Linked DNA regions of Struthio camelus. The protein of the gene in region 3 interacts with the protein of the main gene of each other region in a biochemical or structural test. Links are inferred from orthologs where the notes say so. Each region holds a gene or a part of one and is shown on either strand. Other genes may lie near its edges. The genes, in order: NUP98, NFE2L2, CREBBP and TDG.

Region 1 (7,939 bases), on a different chromosome or scaffold from region 3:
TCCCTGGTTTGTTTCAGTAAACGGGGTCAAATCATGAATTCTGCTGACCATAATTCCCTTGAGCCAGTTCCACCTGCTGGCGGATCTGATTCACCACCCGGCTGTGCTCGTTTCGGAGGCGCGGACAGGCAAAGCCCTTGCACCGCCAGCGGAGAGCCCGGCCCAGCCCAGCCCAGAGCGCAGAAGAAAGGAAAGGTGCTGTACCTCGGGACTTACTGTGTGTTTCTTAGTCATTCTCCACAGGACGCACGTCAGCAGCATGTGGCCCAAAGCCGACGTGATGAAGACGATGAAGGCGTTTTCGTGGATTGCTGAATCGACAAGACAAGAGGTTTGCGGTTAAAACCGGGCATGGAAACGAGCCAAGAGCCCAAGGGGAACAGGAGGGTCGCCGAGCGGCAGCCCGAGGACCCGAGGGCAGCGCGGCTCCACGCCGCCCGTCCCCAAGCCGAGACGGGGGGGAAGAGCTGTAACAGGAACGCTGCTCGCAGGCGCCTCGTGGCTCCTGGTGAAGCAGGGGCAGGAAAGGGATGTTGGCTTCTCCCGGGGCACGTTATGCCCGCCGAGAGTTATCCCAAAGGCACCTGGCCAAAGAAGCTCAATTGCTCGACAAGGCTGCAAACCTCCAGCACCCTAGAAAGGCAGCCAGCAGCATTGCTCTGGTCCTAGGGATGGGGAAACTGAGGCACAGAGGGTCGTTTGCAGAGTGAGTCAGTCCAGGAGCCAGATCGGGCCATCACCTGGCTTCCCGCGTCACCTACCTGCCACTTAACAACTGGGCCACCAGCCCCGTCATTAACGCTAAGGCTGCTTGTGCGTCGCTGAGCTTAAGTCGATTTGGGGTCAGGCTAGAAAGACAGCTGGCTGGAGCAGCCCTAAACCCGAGTAATCCCAGAGGCCCCAAAGCCACACTGGCTAGGCAAGGCCTAGGCAACTTCAGGTGAGTTATTTTTAAGTGAGTGCTTCCATTTCAGTAAAGAATTTCCCAGCTTCTTCCTCCAAGAACTGAATTCGCAAGTGGAAATAGCAACCAGGACACCCCACCGCAAGGAGCGACGCTTCCCTGCCTTCCCCTCCCTGTTTCAGGGGAGAGGATGCATCAGACCACAGCAAAGAAAGACCGCAGAGGCAGCTCTTATTGTGAAGACATGAGCAGTGTCCTGCCAGAGATGATTAAACTGAGCCCACCGTCATGTGAGGCTGCTGCTACGGTCTGAGACTTTCCCTAGGAACCTGAGATTAGTCTATAATAAGAAGAGCAGAGCAAACTGGGTTAGCCTTAGCTTTTAGCATAGGCTTTGCCCACCCCCTCGGCTGTGCTTCAGCCACCTCCGCCCAGGGCTCTGCACACGTCTGGCGGAGCTGTCATCAGTGCAACGAGCCCCAGGGCTCTGCAGGTAACCAGCCCGCCGGGGAGGAGCGCCGTGGCCCTTTGCAAGGCATATCCTCGAGGATGGCAATGCGCTCTGGGGCATCTGAACGGCGCATCCCGTCCTCTGCGCCGAGGCGGGATCCGCTCGACCCCGCGGCGTTTTCCCCGTGCTCCTGGAGGGCCCCAGTGACGGAGCCGTAGCCCGTCCCGGTAGTTTGCTGCTCCAAGCAATCGAAAGGCTTCCCGACACCCACCGCGTCTGCCTTCTGAGAATTGGTTTTTCCCGTCCGCTGTGGGTACAAACATACTCTGCCGAGTACGGGATCAGCTGCATTCCTGCACCCCAGCTCACCCCGCTCACCGCGGCGGGTAAGCGCTGCTCCCTCGCCTTCCCCAAACTAACGCTGCCGCGGCCTTTCCTTCTCGGGACTGCGCTTGGCTTCCTTCTGGTGGGGCTCTGCGGCTGCGTCCTTCGCGCGCAGCACCCAGAGCCGGGCAGCGTCACCCCAGCGGAGCGCGCTAACATCTGACACGCGACCGTCCCGCCAACAAGCCCCAGAACTGGGGTTGTTTCCTCTGCAAGAGCACCCCCTTGCTGGTGCGCCGGCTCGAGTCAGCCGTCGCGCGTCACCGCTCGCAGTGAAAGTCACTGCCGACGAGACCACGCGGGAGAAGGGCGTTTCCCAGCCCGTCTTGATCCTGTTTTGCATGCTGTGATTTAACCTCAAAAAATCTAACTTGTCCCGAGATCAACATAGGAAGTTTCACCCAGAAAATGTCATGCGAGGATATTTAACAGGCTGCCAGGACAGAGCGTAGGCTGGAAGCCAGTTCTGAGCCAAACCTCAGCTGATAGCAGGAACAGGCACTAATCTTCCTTTGTACACTCGACTGTGACAAGAAGCGTTAAGCATGGTCTCAGCACAGAAGCGGAAACCAAACCGTAAATTCTGATTTCAAGCTTGCTACAAAAATTCAGCCTGTGGTTTGGGCGAATTAACAGCAACCCAGCGTTTCAGGGAGAAAAGTTCCACCCGCACACTGTGGATATAATTTTGCCATATAAACATTACTTGAAGCAGAACTTTTTTATTTTAAACTATTTTCTTCTCCAAACGGACTACTTCCAAAACGTCCTCACGGAGCAGAACTCTGCGAAACCTCGGCAACCGCGAGCAAAGCCACCGGCAAGGCGGCCGGCGCAGAGCGCGGCAAGGGGCACCTACCATAGTTCTCCGACGAGGACACGTAGGTCAGGACGAGGAGAGCGAAGTTTTCGAGCAGGTTGAGCAGCAGGTTGAAGTGGCAGAGGCGCAGGTAGCGAGGGTGCGTGCAGCGGCAGCTCTGGTAGTGGTTCCAGTAGGCGATCGCCACCAGGAAGCGGGGCGCCGAGTGGAGGCCGATGCAGAGCCGCCAGACGTAGCGCTGAGGGGTCTCGCCCCCGATCGCGGCACTGATGGAGGGCAGGTAGTTGGGGACCTGGAGGGAAGACAGCAGCTGCTGGAGAGGCACAGGGAACGTGTGGCGGGCTCTCCGAGACGCTACAGCGATCGGCGAGGTAAGTTTTATTCCTGTGTCACAAGCCAGGGAATGCAACGGCGCAGCAGTCCTGCTTCAGCCTCAGGGTCCATCCAGCCCAGCACGCGGTCTCCAGCGCCGGCCAGGGTGCAGGATCCTTGGCCGGTCTCAGGGAGCAGCAGGGGCGGTTGGGAGAGAGAGGAGAGAAGGGTGCAGTGCATGGTTTTGGGAGCCCATCCCTAACAGGGAAAACTGATAGGAACAATGGGCAAAAGGCATGTTCAGGGAGGAACATAAAAGCAAGCAAAACATCAGTGATACAGCCCCAGAACAGACTCCCAGCCTCAAGGATTCAGAGCTCAGGGACTTCCCAAGCCGGCTGCGATGGCTACGTAGCAGGTAATCCACACCGGATTACTCTTCCGTGATCTCGTTCGGTCTGGCCGGCACCCAGGTAGAGCTGCGTACCCACAGTCTCCTGTGGATGGACAGTCCACAGATCCACTACCCTCTGCTTGAGGAGGAGCCGGGTCCCACGGGGTTGCTGCCAACCTGCCACCTCCATACGGCGTCCTCTAACTCTGACGCTGGCAGAGGGCGAACGGGATCCCTGTCTGTGCTCTGCACGCCAGCCATGGCTTTAGAGGTCTCTATCCTACCTCTCCCACCTCATCATCTCTTCCCATTTGACAATGAAGGATCCTTGCTTACTTCGTCATCCCCACGTGACGCCTCTGAGCATCCTCGCTGCTCTCCTCCGTACAGATCCCGTACTGCTGCTTGGGAGGAGGGGACAGACCTGCACGCGTTGTTCAAGACACGTCTCAGCCACGGGCCAACACCGGCATGAATGCCGCCCGCTCTGCTCTACTCCTTTCCTAACAACTCCTGGGCTTTGATTGACTTTTTCAACTACTCCTGAGCACCGAGTGGAAGTTTCACGAGAACATCTATCGCTCCCCCAGACCTCACTCCGGAGCGGCGATGGTCAGCGCAGAGCCCACCTCCACCTCATTGTAGGCAACCTCAGGAGTGCCTGTCCACATGCACATCACTTATTTCTCTGCATGGAACCGCACTGGCATTTTGCTGCTCGGTCGCCCAGCTGCGTCCCGCCCTGGACGCAGCCCCTGACAGCCTGCCTCACCCTTCCTGCACCAGCACCTTGCCATCGCCAGCAGTCTTCGTCACCCCACTGCGCACGGGCACAAGGAAGACCACAGACACCTGTAACACCCTGAGGTCACCTCCTCCTGCTGCTGTGAGAGCTGAGATTATCTACTCCTGCCTTTTCGCTAGGTGCTTGTGCAGGCACAGACTTCCACGCTTGTGCCGCGGCTGCTTGAAAGCCTTGGTGAGGAACCTGATCCGAACCCTTCTGGGAACCCAAGAGGTCCCTGTCAACCGGACCGCTCCCAGGCACGCGCTTGCGACTCCTCCAGTGCCTCCAAGAGGCAGGAACTCCTTTTGCCAAAGCTGGGTTAACTCTTCCATGAGACACCATCTTTATCTGCAGCTTCGCTAGTTCTGCTCTCCAGTCACCACCCGCCTGCTCAGCACAGACGTCGGCCAGGCCAGGCTGCGCTACCCTCCATCCCTTTTTAAAAGCGGGAACCTCAACCGCTAGTCACGCGGCATCAGCAGCACAATAACGGAGAGGAACGTATCCAAGGTCACGTATCCCGGCGGGGGGGAGAGCGCGGAGCAAGGCAGGATTCCCGCCGCGCCAGGCGCCCCCTTTGCAGACCTCTGCGTTTGGCCGGTGAGAGGCGCTTACCCCGCAGTGGGTGGCTGTCGTCTCCTGGAAATGGAACAGCAGAGACCAGATCACGCAGAAAAGGAAACCAAACAGCGGGCAGAACACGGTGCCAACAGCCAGCGTGGTGAAACGGAGCCGGAACAGGATCCCATCGCGGTCCAGGGGCAGCGGTACCTGTAACATGTCGACGGACCTGCAAAGAAGAAGCGGAGGTGGGAAGGGGACGGAGCAGCCCGTGGCGAAGTGCAGCCCTCCGCCCCCCCCCCCCAAAGGACGCGGCCCCTCTTTCGGGCTGCGGAGCCACCCCCCGGGGCTCCCGTCAAACCCTGGCAGGGGGGAAGCAGCTTACCAGCGAGGGTCGGAGGCCGGCGGCGGCGTGCCGGCCCCCCCGGCGGCGCTGAGCTCCTCGGCGCGGGGGCAGCGTCTGCCGCAAGGGCTGCGTCCGGCTCCGGCTCCGGGCCGTTACCTGCGCGGCGGCTCGGCCATCGCGGCCGCTCTAGGCATCGCGCTGGGGGGGGCTGCGGGCAAACGGGGGGGGGGGGGGGGGGGGGGCGACGTGAGAGCCTGGCCCGGCCCCCGCGCGGCCAAAGCCGAAAAGCGAATCAGCGCTGTGACCGTCCGAAGAGCTCAACACCCCCCACCCCACCCCGGCCCCCCGTGACCCCCCCTCTCGCTCCCAACATGACCCACCCCCAGCCCCCCCCAGCTCCATCCGTGACCCCCCCCGGCTCCCCACTCCCCCCGTCCCCCCCAGCTCCATCCGTGACCCCCCCCAGCTCCTCACTGCCCCCACGACTCCCTCAGCCCCCTGCTCCCCCCCCGGCCCCCTCACTCCCCCCGTCACCCACCCCCAGTCCCCCCCAGCTCCATCCGTGACCCCCCCCAGCTCCTCACTGCCCCCATGACTCCCTCAGCCCCCTGCTCCCCCCCCGGCCCCCTCACTCCCCCCGTCACCCACCCCCAGTCCCCCCCAGCTCCATCCGTGACCCCCCCCAGCTCCTCACTGCCCCCACGACTCCCCCAGCCCCCTGCTCCCCCCCCGGCCCCCTCACTCCCCCCGTCACCCACCCCCAGTCCCCCCCAGCTCCATCCGTGACCCTCCCCAGCTCCTCACTGCCCCCACGACTCCCTCAGCCCCCTGCTCCCCCCCCGGCCCCCTCACTCCCCCCGTCACCCACCCCCAGTCCCCCCCAGCTCCATCCGTGACCCCCCCCCAGCTCCTCACTGCCCCCACGACTCCCTCAGCCCCCTGCTCCCCCCCCCGGCCCCCTCACTCCCCCCGTCACCCACCCCCAGTCCCCCCCAGCTCCATCCGTGACCCCCCCGGCTCCCCACTCCCCCCACCTCCTCCCATGACCCCCCCAGGTCCTCACTGCCCCCACGACCCCCCCGGCTCCCCCCATCCCCTGTGACCCCCCCCAGCCGCCTGCCACCCCCCCGGCTCCCCACTCCCCCCGTGACCGCCCCCCGGCACCTCACTGCCCCTACGACCCTCCCACCCCCCCGCTCCCCGCCACCCCCCCGGCTCCTCACTCCCCCTTGCTCCCCCCGGCCCCCCGTGACCCCTCCAGCTCTCCGCTCCCCCCACGTCTCCCCCCCCCGTGACCCCCTCGCACCCACCGGCCCCACACGGCTCAGTCCCGCCGCCGCCGCCGCTCCTCCCCGTCCTCCCCTTCCTCCTCCCCCCGCCGCCCGCCTCTTCCTGCCCACCCTGGGCCAGGCCGCGCCCGCTCATCCCTCCTCTTCCTCCCGCCTCCGGCCCCACGCGGGGCGCGGCGGGGCCCAGCGCTCTCTGAGGCGGCCCCACGCGGGGCGCGGCGGGCCCGAGGCCGCTCCGGGGAGGCCCCACGCGGGGCGCGGCGGGCCCGAGGGCTCTCTGGGGCGGCCCCACGCGGGGCGCGGCAGGGCCAAGAGCTTGTGTGTCTCTTTGGTGCAGCCCCACAGGAGCGTACGGCGGCGCCGAAGGCTCTGGGTCAACATCGAGCGCCCCACGGGGACGCGCGTGGGGCTGGAATCGCCTTCGGCCCCGCGGGGCGCCTCCCCCCCCCCGGTGGAGCAAGTGCTTCCCCGCGGCGCCCCTTTAAGGCCCTCGGCCCCGCCCGCTGCGTCACAACATGGAGGCGGCCCGGCGCTGCCGGGTTGGCCAGGCCGGGGGAAGTCCCGCCCCCCAACGCCCCGGATGTAGGGTAGCCCAGTGGTGCGGCTGTTCTGGACCCTTCCTCAGTGGCCGCCCTTCCCCCTCCCGGGGCCCGGCCAATCGGCGCTCGGGTCGCCGCAGGACGCGGCGCGTGGCTGCAGCCAATCAGAGAGCAGCAGCCCCTTCGCTTCCCGTTCCCACCAGGGTGAGGTGGGAGGGGAGGGGAGCCGTCTCGCTTTCAAAGAGCGGCAGCCAATGAGCGGCGGGCGCGCGGGGGCGGGGCCGGCCAATAGGGTAGGCGGGAGCGGCGCGCGCGCCGCGGCGCAGGGGCGGCTGGGAGGCGCGCGGAGCGGAGTGTGACGCAGATTCCCTCCCCCTGTGAGGCGGCGGCGGCGGCGCGGGAGAGGCGAGGCGAGGCCCGGCCCGGTGCGGCCCGGCCTGGCGCGGCCCGGCGCTTCCCTTCCCCCGGCCCTTCGGCGACCCGCGCCCGCGGTGAGCGACGGGGACGGCCCCGGGCGGGCGGGGGGCGCCCCGCGGCCTTTGTTGGGCGGTGCCGGGAAAGGGGGGAGGGCCGGGCCGCGGCTCCACGCGCGGCCCCGGGGCCGGGCCGGGCCGGTGAGGAGGGGGGGAGGCCGCGCTGTTCCCCAGCCGCCTCCACCGCGAAGGGGCTGCGGGTGACCTTCGCTGCCGGTTCGGTTCCGCGCCCCCGGCGGTGCGGAGCGCCCCGGCCGGGCCGGCCCCCGCCGGGCCGTGGCGGTGTGGGAGTTTGTCGGGCTGGCTCCGTGGGGGGGGGGGGCGCGCGGGGTGAAGCCGAGCCCTCCGTCCCCACAACCGCTGCGCGTTTACACGTTACCTGTAAACTCGGCAGCGTAGGCGCTGCCCCGCTTTCAGGGGCTTAAAGCGGTGGGGGTCTGGGAGCAGCGCCACGGGTCTGTTAACGCGGTGTTTAAATTATGTTCAGGTATCTTGGTTCAGGCTCTGTTTGGGTGCGGTTTGAGGCTCGTGTTATGTTGCTGTAAAACTATGGTTAGAGCCCTCTTCTTCAGGTAAAGCAAGGGAATGGCTGCCGATCAGGTGAAGGTTGAGTAGGGTGCAGGACTTGATTTGTGTATCGAGAAGATGTTAGAGGAGCGTTTTGGAAAAAATCCCCTTT
Region 2 (7,184 bases), on a different chromosome or scaffold from region 3:
AATCAACATCTACCTCCCTGCCACTCCTTAAAATACTGAAAGCATGCTAGAGTCTCACAGCACTCCCTTTGAGCCTGGGGGGAAACAGCAGGAGTGACATTCTCCTCTCTGGCTCATTAATCTCTAGAGCCAGAAATATATACATATTTCCTTTTTCCACCACATTCGGTCTGCCTTTAGCTGACTGGCCATTTCTGAAACAGCAGCTAGATCAGGGCATTCTTGCTCAGTATCTCTCTGCAGAAGATCGTTTGGCATTCTATTTCATACGCTCCAAAAGTAGCCAGGTTGTCCTAAATTGTTTAATCAATGTGTATTTTAGCAGGTAGCTTTAAAATAACACAATTTTAATATAGCGGATGTGCCTTCCAGGGGCTGAATGCTATGGAGATTGAGTCTCCCTCAACATCTTAAAAAAAAACAAAACAAAACAAAAAACCACGTTGTTTGAAAAATCTAATTTTACTTTTCCACAGTTTACTTGGCTAGTATAAAAATGCGTGGTTCCAATCCCAGTTCTGGTTGTGAACCTTATCTAGTCTCAACATTCGTGATGAGATAGATTAGTGAAGTAATACTACCACTTGATTAGAACTGAACACATCAACGTATTGAGTCCACTCCTCTTTGAGTTAAATACATCTTTTAGGTTTAGATAAAAACTTCTGCTCACATTCTGAATCCCTCTTTCAGCTTAACAGAGATATTTATTTGCTACTTCTTTACTGTATCTTTCATCAGTAGGATTACAAAACGATTAAGTCGCACTTATGTGCGCAAAGTTAATACACAAGTTGCATAATGAAATTGGGAGGCTCTGGCAAAAAGATGAGATTGTTTTAGAAAAGAGCGCATTAGCCTGCATATTTGTTTGTACATGCTTGATGCATCAACAAAAATCTGCCCTGCTGCCCCAGCAAATAAACTGAGTGATTCTACTGTGGCTTACTTTCTAGCTGCTGTACAACCACCACGTACTGGACACATCGTGTAACTCCATTTTAAAAGGTATTCAAATAGCAGCCATCTCAGACAGAAGTCTGCTTCATTTCAGGAAAAGTTGGTCTTAATAGCTTTATTTGTTTTTTCTCCCAAGTTAAACTCAAAACTGCACCATAACAAAACTGGCATTTATTGAATTTGGTTATTTTTACATGAAGGGCCAGGATTTTTTACTGTAAACAAATAATACAAAAAATACGTACTTGAATTTAACCAGCATCTAAAAATACCACTGACCTTTTAACCAAAGGAACACATAAGCCTTTGCATCCCAGTCCATTTTATATATTGAACTTATGGTATTTGGAAAACAATTACCTGTTAAATGATTATCTTCAAGCTATCCTGCCGTACCCTGCCAGGCATGTACTGTGTGTGGACATTGCCACAGGCTACCCATTAGTTTATCTAGGAGAGGATTTGTTTATAATAATGGTTCAGTCATCTGGGAAACATGATCCAGTCAAACAATAGCATGCTCTTACAGCCAGCGAAACACATCAGGAAGTAAAAAAGATGAACACAGAAACAGAGAATGGAATCTAATAAAATCGCAAATAATCTGTTTATTAGGTTATATTAACCTCAGGTTATAACTTCATGGCCACTGTTTTAATGTCACTAGGATTACCCACTTTTTGGAAAGGCATATTTCAAGCCAAACATGAAAACATAGTGCATTTGTTCTTAGATCAAAATGTTCTCAAAGATTATTTAGAATCTTAGCTGAACTGCACATTGTCACTGCACCGGGATCTCTTACTACAAAGCCCCTATTTCTAGCTGCCATTTTGCTGCTGGCTGGGCAGGTCGCGGGGACAGGCACCAGATGGGTTATTACAGCTAAACTACTGCCTGGGTGCGGAAATAGCGTGTTCTAGTATTACAAGAAGCATTTCTCACCAAGTTTCACTTCACTGATCTCACAAGCAACTTACTTTTATTGCTGTTGGTCGTGGGCAAGCAACTGGAATATCAGTGTGGGTTAGAAGAGCGTTGAGGTTTACTAACTGTATGCCAGCACACATCTATCAGCCCTCATTCAGTAACATACATATTTACTTCATAAGGCTGAATCAAGGACATTCTTCCATACTTCCAAACTGAGCTGACAAAGAAAAGAGCAAGCATGCTTTTAAATGAAGAGAGCTCACCACACAAACACCTCACGAGCCTAGAAGTATTATCTTAAGAATAAAAGCTTAAGAATAAAAAGATTAATAATTGAAAGGAGTTTAAAGGAAAAAGAGAGCAGAGTTTGTTTTATATTAAAAATACTCCACTAAGAGAACATTAATGAGGTATGCACACTTTTAGGCACTCCAACTGGGCAACAGAAAAAGCAGACAGAGAAAACTGACATAAGTCATAAACCCCAATACCCTTTTTATTTCTGAGACAAACTGGACTGTCATCCTGGTCCTCAAAACAGCCTGCAATTCACGGACATGGACACAAGTGAGAAATGTTGCCGTTCTATTGGGATTAGTAACTTTGAAGTAAATTCACTGCTTTAGGAGTTATGTTATTTTTAAATGCAGCACTGTAATGTTTTCTACAAACGCAAATACAATTTGGACAACAGAATTTGCCAATGGCACTGATATCTGATACATCCACTCCACATAGTCTTCTCAGGCAAAAGCTCTACATTTTCCTCCTCTTTTTCTTCTGCCTCTTTACTTTTACAGTACAGTCCTAGAAAATGAGCCAATCAGTAACGCACATAGTTACTGCACATAGCACACAGTAACACATACAGTAACTACATAGTAACTTTGCAGGGATTACAGTTTGCTCCAGTGGTCAGTTGTGACATGCTCTGTGTACCCCAGCCCAGATCCAGCAGGGTATTTAGAGCCTACCCCCCGCTGCAATCTGTGGGGCACAGGTGCTTTAATTCCTTTGTGGATCAGTCTTGCAGCTAATGCATACTCTTCACATACATTACTTTTATACATATGAATGATGGGAATTCAGTGCCAGTGCACAGTTTTGAATACAGAAATAAGTAGTGTTCAATGTAATACTATATCAGAGAAATAAGTGGCAACTATGTATTTCTGATTGCCCTCAAGCATATGATGAAGGGAAAAGCTCAGCACAGCTCATTTTCCTTTTTTTTTTTTTTTTAAATAAAGTGTTCAACTTCAAATACACTTAGACAGGTTGTTCCATTTCTGTGGAGGAATAAAAAACAGGAAAAAAGCCGAAAATACATTGCTATTCGATTGCTCACATTTGACGCTACAGGACCTTAAGAGATTTGGGAAACAGGGTTCCCTGTGTGGCAAATTTTTGCTATGGTGACAGTTCATCTTTCAAAACAAGTAATTCATGATTAAATGGTTTATTTATGCACAGCCTTCACTAGTGACATGCTTCAATTTACTATGCACAGCTTTCATTAGTGACATGCTTCAGTTTCAGATAAGCATCATTAAATAACTATATTGTTCAACTGTGCACTATCGAAGTAATCAAAAATGTTCTTCCTAAATTTACAAGAAACAGCATAGAAATCCTTACTAACTTTGTACAAAATGAGTTTGCTCAGCCTCCCAGCTTCCTTCAGCCATACCAAAATACATGATGAGAATTGTTTTTCTCTATAATGAGGAAAGGTCAGATTTTCTTTGCTCATTTTCTTAAACACTGAAGTTCACATATCTCTCAGTAAAGAACAATCCTGTTAAAAATTATCAACCCTTCCTCACTAGATTTTTAGAAAGCTCTTATACTTAAAGGCCCTGAATGGTTAAAACCATTAAACCAGAAAGGTCAAGAAAGGCACAGCAGATGTCCAAGCACCAATTTATCATTTTTGTCTACGATGACAGCATTTGCATAAAGAAAAGGTAAACCCAGTTAGGAACTGAGTAACGCTATTAGAAAGCAAAGCTTTGTTTCTGTGTTGTGCAACCCAACCCTTACTTTTTGAAGTCCTGCTCATTATTCAATTTATAAATCGAAAGCAAAAGGGGCTAACTCATATTCCAAGACATGAACCAAAGTAAACTGTTTCATATTTCTTACCAAATTATATAAATGCAATAATGCTTGAAACCCTCCAGAGAACAACAAACCCCCCTAAACTCAACCATCAATAACTCACTCTTTCCACACAAATCAACAGCCTCTACTTCCTACCACCTTACTTGTGGCCTCCTTGTCTGCCTCTCGCGTAGATAGGAGTCTCCCTGCCTCCTGGATCCTCCTGGAGTCAGCTATGTGGCTTTTCCACTACCATAAAAGAAGTCAGTTATGACAGGCCTGCCTCTTTCAGCCTACTGATTAAACGGACAGATGTACCTAGGAAATCAAGGTAGAAGCCTATTCCCGATGTGTGTCCCCTCACACACTCTACCAGCAGCTATGATAACCAAAACAAGACTGTTTTCTATGAATAATAAACATGTCAATATACCTCTTCCATCCATAAACAGTAAAAATTTTCCGTGCATGTCAAGATGCTTAACAAACCTTCAATATTTGGGGGTAGAGGAGGAGAGGAAGAAGAGAAGCCTATCCAGTTTGTGAGTATATTACAGAAAATCAAGAAACTTTAAATCCAAAGCAACTCAGTGCAGTCTGTTAAACATTTATTTTTAGTTAATGACTTGGTCTGTTATCTGAAAAATGAACTGATCTCTTGGACGTTTATAAAGCAATGTATTTACACAATACATGTTAACTTAGTTAAGTTCAAACCTTAGACACGTGCTGGTTGAGTGCTACATACAAACAGTTTAAGAGGGCAATTCAGAGCATTTCAGATATTTTCTAGAGCTGCAAATTTTATCTCGCATGACCACCAGCTGCAGTTTGATAAGGCATTCCACAGTCGCTTCTGAAAGGAGAATGTTGGACTGTGATAAAAAAAAAAATACAGGTTGCCAAGAGAATTAGGGAAAGAGCTAAACTTCCTTTTTCCTTCAGACTTTTAATTATTCTGTATTCAGTGAAACAGCACAGCTAATCAACTTCTATCCTGGCATAAAAGCAATCAATATTTGAAAATAGGAATTGTTTTTATCTTCTCAGCTTAGCTGGCTTCTTACTCCAGTCTACATTGTTTCTCCTGCACCCATATCATCACAATAAATTTTGGTGAAGAACGTTTGATTAATTGCCCTTTGAATTCTTTAATGCTTCTTGTTATGTGAGCCAGATACCTTTTCTCTGTTCCTCTTCTCGTCCATCACGAAATTCCCAGTTCAGGAAGGAAAGAGGTGGTGTTGGTAAGCCAAAGTAGACTCTTTCTAATGGTAGAATAAGCCTAGCAACAATGTTCAAAGTTTTTAATTCATTCAGTTTGTCCCTTCTTTTTTGCCTCCTTTGCAGAAAAAAACACCTTCTTCCTTATATCTAGGGATTCAAGGAAGTAGCTTACCCCTTTTCCTCTAAGTTTCTGTATGACGACTTTTACAGCTGGGTTTTGAGGAGAGCTTTACTAGCTGCCGTTTGAGAAAGACATAGGTATTTTTTTAAAAGTTACCCTAAGTGGCATAACAAAGTGAAAAGAAAATCCTTTACAAAGATCCCATTTCAAGAGCAGAAGGGGTTGAGAAGAAACAGACTTACCTTGCTGCCTCTGAAGAAAGTGTCTAATCTCTAAAGGCAGGGTGAAACATCCCAGCACACTGCAGGCGTATCTATCAGCAGCTGAAGGACAGCAATTTGCTGATGTATGAAATAGAAAGTAAGTGTAACTGTCCTGAATATCTGCTGCCAAATTAAAGTTTGTGTGCTGAATCCCCTAATTCGATAAAATAAATTTATTTGGCAGACTGTTTCTAATATCAGCATTTACTGCTGATTTTTCTGGTAGAAGGCAATATTAATTTAATTGCTTTCCAGACAGAATTAGAATCAATTTGTTAAGCAAAAGGAATAAAATTAATCTGTAGATGACCGCTTAAAATCTACAGTAAATACAGAATTCAAAGAATTTCAGGTTTGGATCCTGGCTGAACAGTTTTCTGTCTCTGACAACTGGAAAATCAGACTGAAGCAAGCTGTCAGTAAAAAAATCACAAAACTCCAAAATTTCTCTATAGCACAGTAATTCACATAATGAGACACAGATATCTTGTTAGGGTAAATCACTATTCAGTCAAATATTAAGTGTTCATTCTGTCATTACTATTTGCATTTTATAAGACCTTGTTCATCATATATGCCACATATACACACATGATTTATTAAATATACTCATCCTCAGGTTTATTCCACTTTGCATTTAAAATAATTTTATGTCTCTGATCTTAGTAACACAGACATTTTCAGGATAATCTAAAATACTTCAGTGATTTGTTAGATCACCATTATAGTTTCATTATTTAAGTGAGTGCCATTCTTCATTTTGCCAACAGAAGAAACTGAGACATGATGAGATATGTCCACACTGGTTATCAGATGAGCAAGGATTCCCGAGAGTGGTTTGCGCAGACTAGATTCCTGAGGTGGCAGATGATAAAGGACCACAGCTCCAGCTGGAGAATGTTCAGCAGAACTACAGAATTCCACCGAGTCACAACAATTTATACTAGCTGAAAAACTGACACAACAGTTCTATAAGATTCCAGTTCATATATCCAAACTGAATTAAAAATCACAATATTAAAAGCCACTGTACAGGAATTCTCTGTGCTAGAGCCTACAAAAGTATGACACACCTCAACATGATACGTATTTCTACAGCCAAGAATTCAGCTTAAACAATTTGGAAAACCAGCTGTCAGAAGTTAGTATGACTTAGTTTCAGATGTCAGCTCTGTTTTATATATTATACTATTTTAATAGTACTAGTTTTGCTATTAAAATACTTCTGGTTTCCATCCTTAATTTCTTAATCCTATTCATTTCAAAAGCTGGGTTTTTATTTTTACTTATTTTACAAATATCAGTGGAATAATCTTCCAAAAACTCCTCAGCTGACATACAGTCCTGGTTAATGCCTCTCTACACTAGAAAAAGTAATAAGTGCAACTATAACTCAATGTTATGAAACATTTTTAAGAAATATATCCACACACCTCATTTCAAATAGTTCACAGAAGATCACCCGAGGCTCTACAATACACTTGCTCCAAGGACATCTCATGACTACAATATCTTCATTTGTATAAGTGCCCCAGTCACTACTTCTGCAACATCGGTGAAGACAGCCGTTAGTGTAA
Region 3 (8,026 bases):
AGGACCAGCTCAAGAACTTTGCTGGCGTTGCTCGTTTGGCAGGATACCGTGAACTGGCAGGATATACAAAGTAATCACGACGCTCAATGTTAAAATAATACTCTGCAATAACTGAAGTTACTATAATTCTACTTTTCATATTAGTCTCTGGTTTATTCTAAAGCAACCCAGATGAGAACGCCTCATAAGATTTAAACGAGGTACAAATGCTTAGTGAAGAAAACTAGTGGGTATCTAATAAAGTAGCCATTAGACAAAAGGGCTAATCTACCTGGCTACATACGGGAAAATCTCGCCCGTGAATATTCTTATCATATTAGCCAGCTTGTTGAATACTGAACGGCAACGGCCAGCGGAGCCGGTAGCCATGGGTCTTCATCAGCATACTTCATTGACAGAAGCAGATTTCAGAGTTGCCCTGGTGCTAACTGTTACGACACCTTATGATATACATAGTATACGTTTCTGCTATCCTTTTCTCTACTCCCTTCTCTTAGATCAGAGATTTGATTTAGCTATTTAACAGGAAAGGTCATATTTTCAGAACGTAAGCAAGCCAGTTTAAATTGCACAAACTTAGCTACAGTAGGCTAAGAAGCTATTTTTACCAGAAAGATTAAAGGGAACTAACATTTACCCTGACAAAAGGAATTGCTCAAGATCACCGCATCAAAGCATCAAGTGAAATATAAACAAGAGCGAGCAGCTGCATTCTGCTGAAAATTCAGGCCTGCCACCAGACCCTTCACCAGCACACCACTATACTCATTTCTAAGCATTGGCAGGATTGATGCCTCGTTATTCAGCAACAAAACTACACAACTGGGCCTAACACGATGTCTTTTAAAGCATGTCCCAATCACGCAAGCCGCGGCATCAAACAGCTGGGGTTTATGACTGCAATTACAATTCAGTTATCCAGGACACAACTTACAGCTTGTTAAGTAAGGGCACGAATCTCAAAACTATCTACCCAAATCTCTCTGATTTAAAATAAATAAAGAGCCTTCCATGTTGCAACGACTTTTTTATTTAAGCCTCAGTGCAAGAGAGCAGCCTGCTTTAGGTTCAGGACCAGGGATTTGATAGAAATCACTACTCAAACTATTTGTATTGCCTACTACAACACATAGAAGAGTTCAGCAATCTTTCAACAAGTAGTATTAGCTGCTGGCAACAAATCTTAAAAAAGAAAAAAAAAAGAAAAAGAAAGCAAATTGAGAAAAGCACTTTTAAGCACACAAACATCGCTTGCACCCTCAAAGAGATGCTTCCCCTCCCCGAAGAACACTAGGATCACAACAGAACACAACCGAAATACTCCTATTTGTCAAAAACACAACCTGAGGTTTTCTGTCCTTGGTGACCAAAGGTCCTCTCAGCTGCGCAAAACTTTATGCAGATACTCAAGTTTACATTTCTAGTGCTCCACAGAGCTCACCAAGACGCATTAGAACTTGCTGAACAGGACGTAATTATGACTGAAGCGTTCCAGAACAGACCAAGGCAACGGGGAGGGGGGGGAAATAAAAGAGAGAGAAAAACCTGCTTCAAAGATCCTTTCCTGGCTACCAGTAGCCTCTAACGTGTCTATTTGGGCAATTAAAGAAAAACTGTGTTTTTCTGAGTTACTGCGGTGCATTTCACAGCACCTTCTGCATCAGCCTTCACTATGATATTCAGTCACTTCCACAAAAAGGGATTAAAGTAGTTCAGTCACAAGACCTCACCCAGGTATTCTCTACCCATTCTTAGTCTCAATATTGCTTCTTTTTGGTATGTTTCATTTCTTTGCAGTTTGGGAAGAAAAAGATTCCATTAAAAAAAAAAAAAAAACCCAAACCCACAGACCTATCTATAAAACTACTGCCAAACGCAGACTGAGCAAACTTAAAAAAAAAAAACCCACAGAGTTTATCAGCTCCATTACGGTAATAATTTTTTCAGTCTATAGAAACATAGCAGGCATAGCGTGATTAACTTATCACTGTCCCTTAAACGAGATTCATTAATCTCCGAGAACCGAAAGACCCGTCAAACATATCACTTGTTCCTATGCGGCCCCCGTGTTGAACACTCGGGACACTTACAGAAGTAAGTGCACGCACGCCTGCGTTTCTGCACACGTGCGTATTTCCAACGGGCAGGCGATTACTGGAAACGATCGTTTTGATGCATTTTATTATCCACACCCCCCACGACGATTTAAAAAAAAAAAAAATAAAAAAAGGAGAGAAAGAGAGAGGCGCGCACCGAAGACTGCACGACACCCGGCCAAGCCGCAGCCGCCCCGAGCCCGCCGGCCGTGTCGTCACGGAAGAAACCCCACAACTTCAGCGCTGCGAATTTTTCGACACAAAAACGCTGGGCGCGGGCTGGGCCCCCACCGGCGGCCGCGCAACCCGGCGCGCAGCCGGAGCAGCCTCTCGGCAGCCCTCGCTCCGCCGCTTTCCAGGAGCACCGACCCCCCCCACCGCCGCCGCCGCCCGCCCCGCCCCGCCCCGCGGAGGCAGCGCGGGCCGCGCACCCAGGCGGCTCCCTCCGCCCGGCCCCGCCGCCGGCCCGGCCCGGCTCCCCGAGCGCCGCGGCCAGGCCGCCGCTATTTATAGCCGCGCGGCCGGGACGGGAACAACCGCGCGGCTCCCGCCCGGTAACTTCGGCCGCGGGAGGCCCGGCCGCGCCGGCAGACGGCTGCGGGGCGCCCGCCCCGGCCGCGCCTCCCCGCCAGGCCGCGTCCCACCCCCGCCGCTCGGTGAAGCCGCGGGGAGGCCGCTCCCCCCCCCCCCCCCCGCCCCGGGTAAGCGGCCCGGCCCGCTGATGGGCCGCCGCCGGATGGCCGGGCCCGGCCGCCGCCTCCGTCCCTCCGCCCGGCCGCCCCCGCGCCGCCCCGCGGCCCTCACCTGTGCTGTCGCTGGCGGAGAAGCCCGGCGAGTTGAGCTTGGCTCGCTTGGGGTTGGGCGGCCCGTCGAGTAAGTTCTCCGCCATGGTAGCCGGCTCGGCCGTGGCAGCCCCGCCGGGGCCCGCCGCGCTCCCGGGATCGGCGGGCAGCCGCCGCCGCCGCCGGAGAGGAGAGGAGGAGAGGCGCCCCGCTCCGCTCCGCTCCGCACGGGAGCCGCGGCCGAGCAACAGCGCCGCTCAGTGCCCGGCCGGCGGCGGCCCCCGCTCCCCCATGCCCGGGCCGGGCCGCCGCCGCAGCAGGCCGCAGGGAGGAGGGCTCGGGGCGGGGTGGGGAGAGCCCAGCGCCCCCTCCCTGCCGGCCTCGCTCCTCCCGGCCGCTCCCCCGCCCTGCCGCCGCTGCCGCTGCCGCCGCCGCCGCCGAGGAGGTGCCCGGATGGCGGCTCAGTCAGTCACTCGGGGAGCATAGCGCCCCCCCACCCGCTCCTCCTCGCCCCGTCCCCTCCCCTGCGAGCGGGGGGCTCGCCGCGGCCCCGCTGCCGCCCCCGCCCGCCGCCCCCACCCCCGCCGCCCGCCCGCGGCGAGCCGCGGCCAACGGGGGCCGAAAAAATAAAGCCCCAAAACAATGAGGGCGGCGCGGCGGCGGCCGCCGCGGCTCCCGGTCCCGGTCCCGGCGGCGGCGCCCGGCTGGCCCCGGCCGGCGCTGCCCCGCTGCCCCGAGCCCCTGTGCCCGTCGGCGGCGCTCCGCGCGGCTGCCCGTGCCCCGGCGGGCGGCCCCGCTGCCCCGGCCCGGCCCGGCCCGGCCCCGCTCCGCTCGCGCCGCGCTCCGGCTCCGCGACAAGATGGCGGCTGTTGATTCCTCAATTAAAAAAAAAAGTTTTTTTTTCTCTTCTCTTTTCCAGAGACCATGGGGGCGGGACCGGGGCGGGGCCTGCGCCCTGCGTCACCGCGCACGGGCCCCGCCCCCCGCCCCCGCCGCCGCCGGAAAGGCGCGAGCGGCGCCGGAAAGAGCCGAGCTCGTCCTCAGTTGCTCCGCGGCGCGTTGCCCAGGGTTGGGGGGTGGGGGGGGGAACGGCCCGCGCGAGGCCCGGCGGGGCCCCCGCCCCCCTCCCCGTCCTCCCGCCCCCCCCCGTCGCTGTCGCCTCTCAGCGCCCCGCAGCTGCCCCTCGGCCGCGGCTGAGGCCCGGGCCCCCTTGCCCAGGCGGCCAGCGCTGGGTTCAGGCGGGGACGGGGACGAGAGGGGCCTTCAGGCGATGCCGGCCTGTCCCCCCTGCCCCTGGCTGCCCGTCGCCCCCCGCGCTGGCTCGCTGAGCGCCCAGACGCCCTCCGCCCGCTCCTGTCGCGTGTGGCCTCGCTGCCAGCGGGCTCCTGCCTTCGCCCCCTGCTCCTGGCTCTGCCCGCGCCTGCCGCCTCTCAGCCCGCCCCGGCCCGCGTGGCTCGGGGCCGCGCGCCCTGCCGAAACGCCTGCCCGGTTATCCCCGCCGAGCCCCCGAGCTGCCTCGCAGCCCGCCCGAAGGGCTTCCCCCCGCTGCGCGCGCCCTTAGGCCCCTCGCTGCTGCTGAGGGCGTCCGCCACCGCCCCGCAGCCGTACGCGAGGGCAGGGGCCGCGCGCCGGCCCACGGGGACGCCCACGGCCGGACCCGGTCGCTGCTAGCTCAGCTCAGGCACCAGGACCCAACCTAACGGCCGGTGGGCTCGGGGCGCCGGGCACCCGCTCCGACCGCTTGCTTCCAGCCGTGCCTCCGCTCTGACTAGACAAACCTCCCTGGCTGAAACAGGTTTGTAAGGCTGGAGCTCGTGTACTTCAGTTGGTTTCCGTACTGGTTCCTAACCTGAGAAGAAGGTCGTTCTATAAGCCCAGGCGACGTGCCATAGCAGCAAAGCGTCTCGTACCCAAACTAGTTGCTCAGGGCTGTTTTCATCGCTTATTGCTGTATGTCGACATATCCCTTAAGAGCAGTCCTAACTGGAGGACAGGCGGGAGAAAGGAGCTGAGGCGATCCTGCGGTGTGTGCATAAAGTCCATAAGCTGAGATGGATTAAACAGCAATCTTTTATTTTTTGAAAGGAGATCTATAATGACACCTTCTTTTGCAAACAGAAAGCCTTGTCTTTTGTTTACTGCTACCTCATACTCATTACATTTACTTCTATATTTACATGCATTTCGTTACGTTTACTTGCAAATTCTATATTTATTTACATGGCGCCTGCTCTTGTAGAGGCCTGGCAGTAACCAGCTCTGTTTCTATCAGTCTATTACTCATTTCTTAAACAAGTGCGGGGGCTCTCTGGTTATGTCTGCCTTTCGGACGTCTCCTTAAAAAGCAGAGAGTTCTTGTACGTTTTAGGGTAGTCCAGTGTGAGGCAGGGCTTCAGCTCCAGGTACGAGTCCCAGTTCTGAACGGGTACCTGCAGCTGGAGCTCATTTGGGTGGGAAGTCCATATCGGTTAGGTGAGGCTCCAGCTGCTTAAACACCATTGCTACAGATGTTTATGAGCCTTCTCTGCAGTAGTGTGACAGGCCACTAACCCCTTGGCTTCAGGTCTTATCTACTGCTTGAGATGTTTCAAGACTGGGAGCAGTAAAATGTGTATTTTAAAAATGAGGGCAATGCAATGATAGAGGGGCACTGTTTCTCTCACATGGGTAGGGCATCTAAAACACAGAAGTGAGGATCTGCAACAGCTTCTCATTGTAATACAAGGTGTTTGCCCCAGTTTAGGCTGAGGGAAGATGTGTTTCTGCTGCACGTGGAGAAACGGAAATCAGGTCAGCTCGTCTGTCAGCCACAACAGAGGACAGCAGTGCCCTTTGCTACCTGCTACTTGCATTTTTCAAGAAGGTCAGTCAGCGAGTTTTGAACCGTAGCTTTTGGATAACTTTATGCTCTTACCTTGCCCGTTACATCGTGTATGGTCTTGAAAATAAAGGATTTGCTGGAGTGGCTGGCATCAGCAGATGCCCGTAGCCTTTCGCTTCCCTTATGACCCCCTTCTGTGCTGCTGCGATGACACTAGAGCTCTGGCATGGAGTCAGGATGGGGATCTCCTGCCAGGAACAGAACCTAAGTGGTCCCACAGCTACCACTTAGCTCCAGGAAGATGTTTGATAGACCATATGCTGAAGTTCCACCAGTATTGCAGTTCTGATCACACAACTAGCAAGCAAGAGGACCATGACACCGCCACTGAACCTGTCACGGTAGCTTGTGTACCAGCCTGCTTGGCCCTGCCTGGCCCTGGTGTGCCTCTGCCCTGCCAGAACAATGCTGCATGCTCAGTGTTGGGAATGGGGATGGGGAGCAGATGGAAGTAGGCCACTCTTCCTCTCCCTCTAGCTGGAAGAGCTCTTCTATCTTTACAGCAAAGTGCCAGGCCAAATGAGACTTGCCACGTAGGTAAAATCAGAGGGGAGCTGCGAGTCCCGGAAACCAGAGGGGGAGAGGAAGGAGGTGGTTTGGAGGGAAGGAACCCTGCACACCAGGGCAGCAGGAGAGGAAGAGGAAATCCTAATGCTACTGCGTATTGCAGCTTCTCCATGGCATGATGTCCCCTTAGGATGGCCCTAGTCATCCCCCTGCCATGGGATCAGAACAGCATGGGGATATTGGCAGGAGCGGGGGGAAGACCTTGACCCTTACTTGCCCAAAAGGCTTAATAGTACTGCAGTGCTCAGGATACCATAGCCCTTTGTTTGTGTCAGTCCTGCAAGACTCAGGTGGCCTCACCGTAATGCCAAGCACAGTGAGCTACAACTGGAATAGGATGATTTTGTGAGAAGGAAGGAGACTGTCTGGGAGATATTACACAGCAAGCAGATGAACCCCAGTCCTGCAAACTTGTGCCCCGGATTCCCAGTCCTGGCCCCCACCGTACCTTGTGCATAAAAGCACAGCTCCCCCTCTCCCCCGAGCTGACAATTTAAGCACGTGCATGGATTCCTGGGGACTTTATCTGTGGTGCTCAGGAGTCACTGTGAATGCAGGTGCTTAATGGATAACCCCTTTATTCGGGGGTTATATTACGTCCAAGAGAAATTGCATAATAAAACCTGCACTGCTGCAGCCCATTTCCAGACTCCCTGTCTCCAGAATTAAGCTTCTTAAAGATACAGCTCCCAAGAGCCTATCTTCCTTCCCCAGCCAAAGCATGGAAGTATCATTTCTGTAGCGTGCGACCTCAGATCCTCACAGCCAAACAATTAACAGTGTTTGAACAACTTCTGAGGAGCTCTGCACTGTAACTTGCAGGTCACCATGGCATCATCAGAACAGTTCTCACTGGGAACTGCCATTTTTCCTGGCAACGTTATGTCCCAGAGTTTGGTTGCCTAACCTGCTGGTTTTGCTGCGAAATTAAGCTGTCCCAGGCAAAAAGACAAGCCTGGTGTCCGTTATCTTCTCTCCTCCTGGTTGCTGGAGAAGGTGCTGCCTATTCTTCTTCCAAGTATGTCTGGTTAGACACACCCTGCACTCATGGGACTGTGGAGCAACTTTATGTGACATAACTGTTGTTTCTGGCTTCTGATTTTCAATGTATGTGTGAATTCTTCTTGTGTTCAGGAAGTGGTAGTAACCCCTGGGACCACAGTCATGCTGCTGTTTTGTGTTTAGCTTTGTGTCTGTGCACTTTTGCAAACCCGTAGTTCCTTGGGCTACAGCGCCTAACATCCCAAGCAGCCTATCGCTTGATTTTCTGCAGAACAAAATATCTGCAAGTGGCTGGCTGTATTTTGTAGGTGCCATCCTTGTAATTTAATGCTGTCAAGCATGAGCTTGATTCCACTTTCCTTTTCAGTGAGTAATTATTATTTCAAGACCATTTATTATTTTAAGACCCTGTTGAATAGGGTCTAGTGGGGACTAGGTGCTACCTATGCAAAGATGGACGTTTCTGTGAGCTGCTAAACCCCTGCCCACTGTCTATCATGACCATCCTTTCTACAAGTATAACTCTGATGCCCAGAAATCCTCCATTTAACAAGTAAGGTTATCTCACAGAAGTGAGAATAACAGTTCAGGAAAAACATGTAGTCTTCAATTGTCATCCTAATCAAATCCATCACTCCAAGAGGTCCGTTTTTCTTATGCTGCAAATGTGAAGCCCTTTTGCTGCAGCTGGCCTGTAA
Region 4 (7,425 bases), on a different chromosome or scaffold from region 3:
TAAGACCTAAACGAACAAAATCCTCGCAGGGAAGAAGGACGGCAATGTAGAAGTGCATAAATTAGAAAACACATGTGACATAGAGTATACTTCTTAGTTTTTATGCATTTGTTTAAGAAAAAGGGACACTCATTAAAAAACAAACAATCCTTAGTGCATACTAGCAATTCAGTATTTGTGATTATTATAACACACCAAAGAAACACCATTTTAACAAAAATACTTTAAATAAACAATATTACACTGTATTTTTCTTTCACAATTAAAAAGCAAAACAAAACAACTTTCAGCTCAGCCTAGAAAAAAAGAGAGACAGCCTTCCCTCTCTAACCTAATGTTAAATGCCGTGAAACCAACTAAAGATGATACTTTTACCTATTAAAACAAAAATTCGCTGTTCTTGGGACAAGATAATTTTTCGAAACTGGACTACTTGAATATTATAATCAGGTTTAACTCTACTACTTGGTAACAAGTGTTACTAAACAGAATACATCCTCATACTGAATTAAATTCTCAATACATACTGAAAGTATACATACTCTATACTTCCTCAAAGAGCACCAAGGAAAGGAAATCCAATAGGTCTAAAGAAGCAGTTTATTAAAACAAATATACGTATACACATACGTACACACAGGTACGTGTATATATATATTTAAATCAAGAAATTTTTTTTAGCTCGGTTAATATAGTCCGATCAAGCTACCTACCTTTAGTAGGTTCCTGAGCCAAGTTTGGCTCTGGAACGTCCTCTAGAGTGGGCTGCTCAGTCATGGCTTCCATGTTGGGCACTGCAGTCATCATTGGATGGAACGGAAACGTATAAAAGGCTTGAATTTGCTGAAGATGCGAGTAATATCTTAGAAAGGCAGGAAAAAAAAAAAAAAGACAATTCATCAACAATTTAGAAATTCAGTGATGGACCAAGTAGTCTGTAATCACCAATCTCTGTCAAGGCTGGCATGTACTGCAAGTACACTCTCCAGTATAGTCTGTTAGCAAAACAAGGCAGTAAATTATCCAAATCCACTAAGTAGTCAGACTGTTTCTTGGGTGTGGGATGATGTTCAACTCAACAGGAATAGCCCAACCCTCTTTTAAGTAACAAAAGGTTAAAGAATTGCAACACTGTAAGCACAGCCTAGAGCTTCCATTCCTCTGGAAAAACACTTTGTAGAATATATTAACAGCACAAGCTGTCTATCAAATGCAGTGACCAAGTACAACACAACTGAGTTAAAACTCTTTGGACTTAAAAGGTTTCCCAACTTTTAAATTTTCTTACTGTCACAGCAGTTACTTTATCTGATGACACAGAACGGATGTGCAGAATGGGGTACAAAACCTTACAAACACACGTAGCAGTAGTTACTGCGCAGATTACTAAAGAGCTTTAAGAAACAGTGCAGTAGATGCTGTCCAGTTACTTCGCTCTGCAGCTCAACACAAGTACTGTGCTTATTCTATAGAAAAGCATTTATGCACAGATTCAGCCTCCTTCCATGCACACAGACGTTTTGCCCTACGTAACCCTTCTGCTCTACATATCTATTAGACACGTGCAGGCCATACATACCAACAAAAACTTGTGCTTCGTATTCCCATTCCCTCTACCTATATAGCCTGCTTTTTGTCCATAGATTTCCACTGCTATTCAGATGCATAAAAGAGTTTTCACGAACAGTAAAACTGCAAAGAATATGTTCATCATCTCAAAGCTACTCATAAACATACCGAATAATTTTAGCTATATATGGGTACCTCAAAGGCACACACTTACCACCCTTGTGATGGGGAGGCATCATTCTCTGTTATTCAATGAATATTTAAGAATCCTACTGTAAATCAGATTTATCCCAGAACAGCCCACAGTCTTGCGATCAGTCCACTAACCTTGAACCAAATACCTGCCCTGAATCAAGGAGAACGAACCTGAACTTAGGTCTCCCAGATTTCTGGGGAGCAGTCCAACGAAGCCATGGGATGTTTTCGGAGTATAGTAAACACCCCAGTCTCTCCAGCTAGCGTTGTTCCATTTAATATAAAATACTCATGCAACTACTGAACCAGGCAGCAAAACTGATTGTCAGATACGTGTTAGGGAACACAGCTGAGACAAAGAATCCAGTTCCTAGTCTGCTAAACGCTTAATTATACAGAACAGGAAAACGTCTGAGAGAGACTTAAAAGTGTCTAGCACAAAAAGAGTCGCTAACAAGATAATCTCTTATAAGGTACCGATCAAACTCCCTTTAAACAGAAGAAAATTTGGCACCATGTCACAGACGAGTCCTCTAACCGCTTAGTGATGGGACGAAAGAGAGCCTTCACCCTCACCCCTAACGCTCGTATACATCTTTTTGTTTTTAACTTCTTTTGGAGAATCGTTTTTCTTGTAAAGGTTCAGAACCACGACGTTTTGTTACAGATGAACGGGATATGTTATGGAACGTGTTACAGGCAAAAAAGAACGTTCAAATAAATATTGTCAGTTCAACAAAGAAAAAAAACACGGATTGAAACCCCTTCAATTCAGTGCAAGCTAGAAAGGAATAAAAAGAAAAAATCCCCCCAGAAGAAAAAAATATATATATTAAGTCACTTGCAAATTCCACCTCTACGCGCGCAGCCCTCTCTTTTACACACAATGAGCCCCAGAGCCGCTCAACCCCCACAGAAACGGACGCTCATCCGCGCCGAGACCCCCTGCCCCCCCCCCCCCCGCACACCGCAGTCTCCAAGCCCACAGGTTGCTCTACGCACTCTTAATACAACGTGCATTTTCTGCATCTACGCGGTGCCCAAGCCTTCCCCTCTCCCCTCCCCCCCGCCCGCGGCCCCCTCCGCGCCCGCGCACACGTCAGCCCGGCCCGCGCGGCCGCACCTCCCCCTCCCTCCTAGAGATGGGGGGGGAGGGGAGGGCATCAGAACCCGGCCCCAGCTCCCCCCCCGGCCGTTAACGGAGGGCAGAACGGAGACGAAAGGCGACCCAGCGCCAGGCCTGAACGCGGCTCCCGTCCCCGGCCGGTACCTGCTCAGCTCCTCGGCCTCCATGCCCAAGCCTGGAGCCTCCCCGGAGCGGAGCGGGCTATTGTCAGGACGAGCGGCGCGGCGCGACGCGACCCGGCCTGGCCGCCCCCCCCCCCGCCACTGCTTGCCGACCCCCTCCCCCCGCACCTTCGCTTCCCCAACAGACCTGCCGGGCAGCCGCGCGTCACGTGAGCGGCGGCGGCCAATGGGGAGCGAGCCGGGCCCGTGAGGCGGTGGGGGAGGGGCGCGCGGGGCGGTGCCGGCGGGAGACGGTGTCGTGCTGCCGCCACTGGCCCTCCCCCCCCCCACCGGGCGCTCGGGACAAGGCGGGTGCGACCGAGCCGTTGCCGGCGCGTCCCAGGCCCGCCTCCCCTGCCACACGCTCCTCGGAGGGTTTCAGGGACATGGCTTAACCGGCATCGTCCGCACCGCGGAGAGGTACTGTGTAGCGACCCCCCACCCCGCGGCCCCGCCGCGTCTCCGCGCCTGCACCACAGAGCTCTGCTGGCTCGGCACCGTAAGGCGGGGGGGGGGAGGGGGGCGCGGGCGGAGGCCGGATGCCTGCCGCGGGGTAGGAGTGAAAACGCGTCCAGCCAAGCCCAGGGCAGCGGCGGCACCTCCCGCCTCCCCCCCGCCCCCAGCCGGCTTGACCCCGCCGCCGGCCAACGGCTGCGAGCGCGCGGGGGATGACGCACATCCGGTGCGTCACGCCGTGCGGCGACGCCAACGGCCGCCGCGGAGTTGCCGTTAGGGCCTCGGCGGCGGTGACGGCGCCCGCCCGCAGCCTCGGCCCGGCTCTGCCCCGGCGGTTATTTTGTACGCGAGGGCCGTGGCCGCCGTCCTTGCGCCGCGGAAGCCCCGCCGGAGCGAGGCGACGATCGCCTGGTTGCTCCTTCCCGGTTCCCCCTGCGGCCCGGCCATGCCGGCGGGCGTGCCTTGGCCCACCTACCTGAAAACGGTCGGGGCGAGTATGCTGGCCATGTTTGCGGGCGCCGAGGTCGTGCACAGATATTACAGACCTGGCCTTGTAAGTGCTCACAGAGTCCGCATTTGTGATCGCTTTTACGGAGAGGCTTAAGAGCGTGCATGCGAGGTGAAGAATCGTCTGTGGCAATTTTGTTTGGAAAGATGCGTGGGGCAAAAGTCCCGTGGTGCTGCTGCCAAAAAAAAAGAAAACACACTAATACGAGCATCAGAACAGGAAGCATACAGGTGTCTTCTCATGGGAGCATTCTTCTAATTAGGAACAAGATACAAAATACAATCATAGTTACCTAAAATTCTTCAAAATAAATTTTGATTGTGGGAAGTTTTTTTGAAAGGAGCATGTAAAAGTGGCAAGAGGCGGCTATATTAAAATTAATTTTTTTTCTCCTAATGAGAATCAAGATGCCTAAAGGTTTAATATATTAGGAGTCACAGTCAAAATTCTGATCATGGAGAACCAAAGTCCAAACATGACCACCCACCCAGTACAGTAATGGTTGATATGGTCTCCTGGCATCCTTCTCACTTGTAAGCCTGCTCTCCTCCTCCTGTATACTTTTTATTGTTGCTGTCATTTAAAAACACTGTTATTTAAATTAGGAATTAGCTAAAAAATCACTACGCTTGAACAGTCATCTCAAAAATTGATTTTTTTTTTGCATTGCTGTATAGGTACATTAAAGATTTTATGCATTTTTAACAGTTTCAACTTAAGTACTTCACTACAGGGTAATAGGCTGATTGTTCATACATAGATGTGTGTGTTTGTAAATATACAATTTCATCCCTAGCTTCAGTGTTTCATTTGTAAAACCAAAAGATAGAAGTGGTGAGGCTTTTTTTATTTTGGTCACGAAGAGAGATAATATGTATGGAAACTTCAGCTGATGTTTTAAAACTATACTGGTCACTTCCAAAGAGCCTCCTTTTTCAGATTAGAGGAAACTGTCCCTTTAATCAAGTTATTTTTATTTCTTCCCTTCTCATTTTTTTCAGATTACTTTTTCCTACTTTAAAATAGTCAGAAAGATTATTATACTCTTTGAGAAAGAGCAAAAATACAATCACAATGTGGATATACTACTGTTTCTTACAGGGTACATAAATTTACTGTTTATTTTTTTTTCTGCCAAAGCACTGACATTTCTGTTTTTAAACAGAGTATACCTGAAGTACCTCCTAAGCCTGGAGAGCTGAGAACAGAACTGCTGGGTCTAAAAGAAAGAACAAGCCAAGGTCAAACGTCACAGCAGTGATCACAATTTACTTAAGTTATGAAGACAAACTGTTAACATTGTTCAACTGTGTCAACTGGAGCTTTGCAAACTTGATTAAAAATGTGCCTGTGAAATACTGTACTCTTAATAATGTTTTTCTGTTTCTTGGAAGTAGTTACAGGTAGCATAAGAATAAATGCATTAAGAATATTGTTCAAAGTCCAGCAAGCTGTGTACACTTGTGACTTTGATTGCAACATAAATATCCTTCAGAAGGATAAAAGATTAAGATTATGTTGGCCAAGGCTGATAGAATTTGAAAGGTTTAAGCTGATTAGCACATTGAAGAGTTGAACTTTTATGGACCCTCATCAGCCTTAAGCAGCTTACCTGTTTTTCTGTAGCAGAACCCTACTTGCCTGTTAGGAGTTCAAATTTTAAAAAGGGTGAGAAATCAATTTTATTGGACCTAACATATAATTACTATAGTAAGTTATTTGTATATGCAATAAGATTCCTCATTACAGCACTTGCATTGGACCCTTCCTACTGCTGTGGTGTTATGAGCTGTCTGTAATTCCAAGAGGAAGTTTTGGTCCACTCTTAAGATTGAAGGACCCGAAACCGTAGTCATGTTAGTTAAAACAGACCAAGTAAGTATACACAGATTACACTTAAGTGATGTACAGCTGTACTGCATTTGTGTCCAAACCTCATAGCTTTTGAGGCTATTGACCCATTACAAACATGCTGGAAAAGATAGTATAGGGGGCAGGGGAGTAGGATGAGCTCTCTCCTGCTCCTATGTGCCCCTATGGACGTTGACACTAAGCAGATACTGCAGCCTAATTAGGCCAGAGACTTCCTATATGGAAGACACCTTTGTAAGTGACAGTCATACAAAAAGTACACCAAATGAAAACTTAAATCCAGAGGGACACAGATGTTATTAGGCCCAGTTCCAGTGGAAACACTTCCCCCCCCCCCCCACTACACCCAAAGACAACACTGAAAACCTTGCACCTCAGCATGAGACCTTTGCATGAGAATCAATAAAGTTCCCTGAAGAGTCAAGATGTTCACAGCAGTTTTGCTTCTGTTCAAGGCTGTAGCTTCCCACTTGAGTTGTAGCTGAAGCAGGAACAGTGGTTTTTGAATTGTCCCTCTAGAGCCAAGAGGCCCCAGTCCTTCGAGTTACTCATGCTGTATCACCTTTGTCCTTCCACTGTTGCCTTTCCATCTGAGGTAGAGACTAAATCTTTCATGCTAGAAGGTACCATAGAGAAGCTTACCATCACTTTCATCAGAACCCCCAAAAGCATCCTGCTGCTAATGGAAACTGAGCAACAAGGAACACTTGTTTTACCCCAGCCTCCACTAGCACTAAGGGAACAACTGATGAGCACCCCTCTAGGAACAGCAATACTGGCAAGACAACGTAAACAAAAAAGGCAGTTTCCTCAAAACCAGAATAACCACACCACTAGACAAAAAAACCCCAAAACGTTCCCCCCACCCCCACACCCCTAAGAGCAGAGGATAGCTCTTCCAGCATTGATATGCTTTTCCATCAAGCTGGCCAAAAAGCTTACAACTGCATGTTTGTGCTTATTTATAGCAAACACTTGTCACTCCACAGCAGGGAGGGCAGCTAGCACACCACCATATTGCATACAATACCCTCAATTGAGGAAGATGAAGAAGCATGAACAATGACCCTCAAAGCATGCTTTTTATTAGTTCCAAAAGTGAATCAGACAGCATCCTGAAACCAACCAAAGCATGAGAACTTCAGCTGTGGAACAGAGCAAAGGTTGCTTAAAGCAGACAAATAATTAACAGATTTAAGAGTTCTGTAGCAAACAACCCTATACTTCCAATAATATTCCTTCTGTAGTTGTTAGCTGTTTTAAAAAGCTCTTAAACATACAGTAGATGCAAATCACATATACTACTCAAGCTGGTCAGGCAGAGGTATAATATAGACATGTAATAAACGTACACCCTTCTTCAGAAGGGCTCTGAATGTATATTTAACCCAGTAAGGGATGTTTTCTTTACATTCCAAACTAACTCTCCAGATTCATTACAAGCTGTATTTTAGAAGTATTAAATCAAAATCTTAGGAGCAATTGATTGCTACAGAGCACAAGAGACAAAGCTGCACTGTTTTGCTAAGAGAACCATA

Evidence for each region.
Region 1: the proteins of CREBBP (region 3) and NUP98 form a complex in vitro, tested with the Homo sapiens proteins (2 studies listed by BioGRID). The link is inferred for Struthio camelus from reciprocal best matches to the Homo sapiens genes CREBBP and NUP98.
Region 2: the proteins of CREBBP (region 3) and NFE2L2 form a complex in vitro, tested with the Homo sapiens proteins (2 studies listed by BioGRID, with this or other methods). The link is inferred for Struthio camelus from reciprocal best matches to the Homo sapiens genes CREBBP and NFE2L2.
Region 4: the proteins of CREBBP (region 3) and TDG form a complex in vitro, tested with the Homo sapiens proteins (2 studies listed by BioGRID, with this or other methods). The link is inferred for Struthio camelus from reciprocal best matches to the Homo sapiens genes CREBBP and TDG.

Annotation. Positions count from the first base shown.
Region 1 is NC_090942.1:224,224,003-224,231,941, reverse strand, and holds the start of NUP98 (nuclear pore complex protein Nup98-Nup96), read left to right. Parts: upstream 1-4,832; 5' UTR 4,833-4,861; intron 4,862-4,998; exon of another isoform or gene 4,999-5,167; intron 5,168-6,269; exon of another isoform or gene 6,270-6,329; intron 6,330-6,834; exon of another isoform or gene 6,835-6,991; intron 6,992-7,138; exon of another isoform or gene 7,139-7,278; intron 7,279-7,939. Other genes in the region: PGAP2 (post-GPI attachment to proteins factor 2), read right to left, coding at 205-311, 2,599-2,851, 4,668-4,832. UniProt on the Homo sapiens protein: Plays a role in the nuclear pore complex (NPC) assembly and/or maintenance. NUP98 and NUP96 are involved in the bidirectional transport across the NPC. May anchor NUP153 and TPR to the NPC.
Region 2 is NC_090947.1:20,389,316-20,396,499, reverse strand, and holds the start of NFE2L2 (nuclear factor erythroid 2-related factor 2), read right to left. Parts: upstream 3,097-7,184; 5' UTR 2,031-3,096; coding exon 1,941-2,030; intron 1-1,940.
Region 3 is NC_090956.1:18,495,480-18,503,505, reverse strand, and holds the start of CREBBP (CREB-binding protein), read right to left. Parts: upstream 3,127-8,026; 5' UTR 2,986-3,126; coding exon 2,901-2,985; intron 1-2,900. UniProt on the Homo sapiens protein: Acetylates histones, giving a specific tag for transcriptional activation. Mediates acetylation of histone H3 at 'Lys-18' and 'Lys-27' (H3K18ac and H3K27ac, respectively).
Region 4 is NC_090942.1:62,730,100-62,737,524, forward strand, and holds the start of TDG (G/T mismatch-specific thymine DNA glycosylase), read right to left. Parts: upstream 3,196-7,425; 5' UTR 3,058-3,195; coding exon 3,035-3,057; intron 2,776-3,034; exon of another isoform or gene 1,936-2,775; intron 863-1,935; coding exon 714-862; intron 1-713. UniProt on the Homo sapiens protein: DNA glycosylase that plays a key role in active DNA demethylation: specifically recognizes and binds 5-formylcytosine (5fC) and 5-carboxylcytosine (5caC) in the context of CpG sites and mediates their excision through base-excision repair (BER) to install an unmethylated cytosine.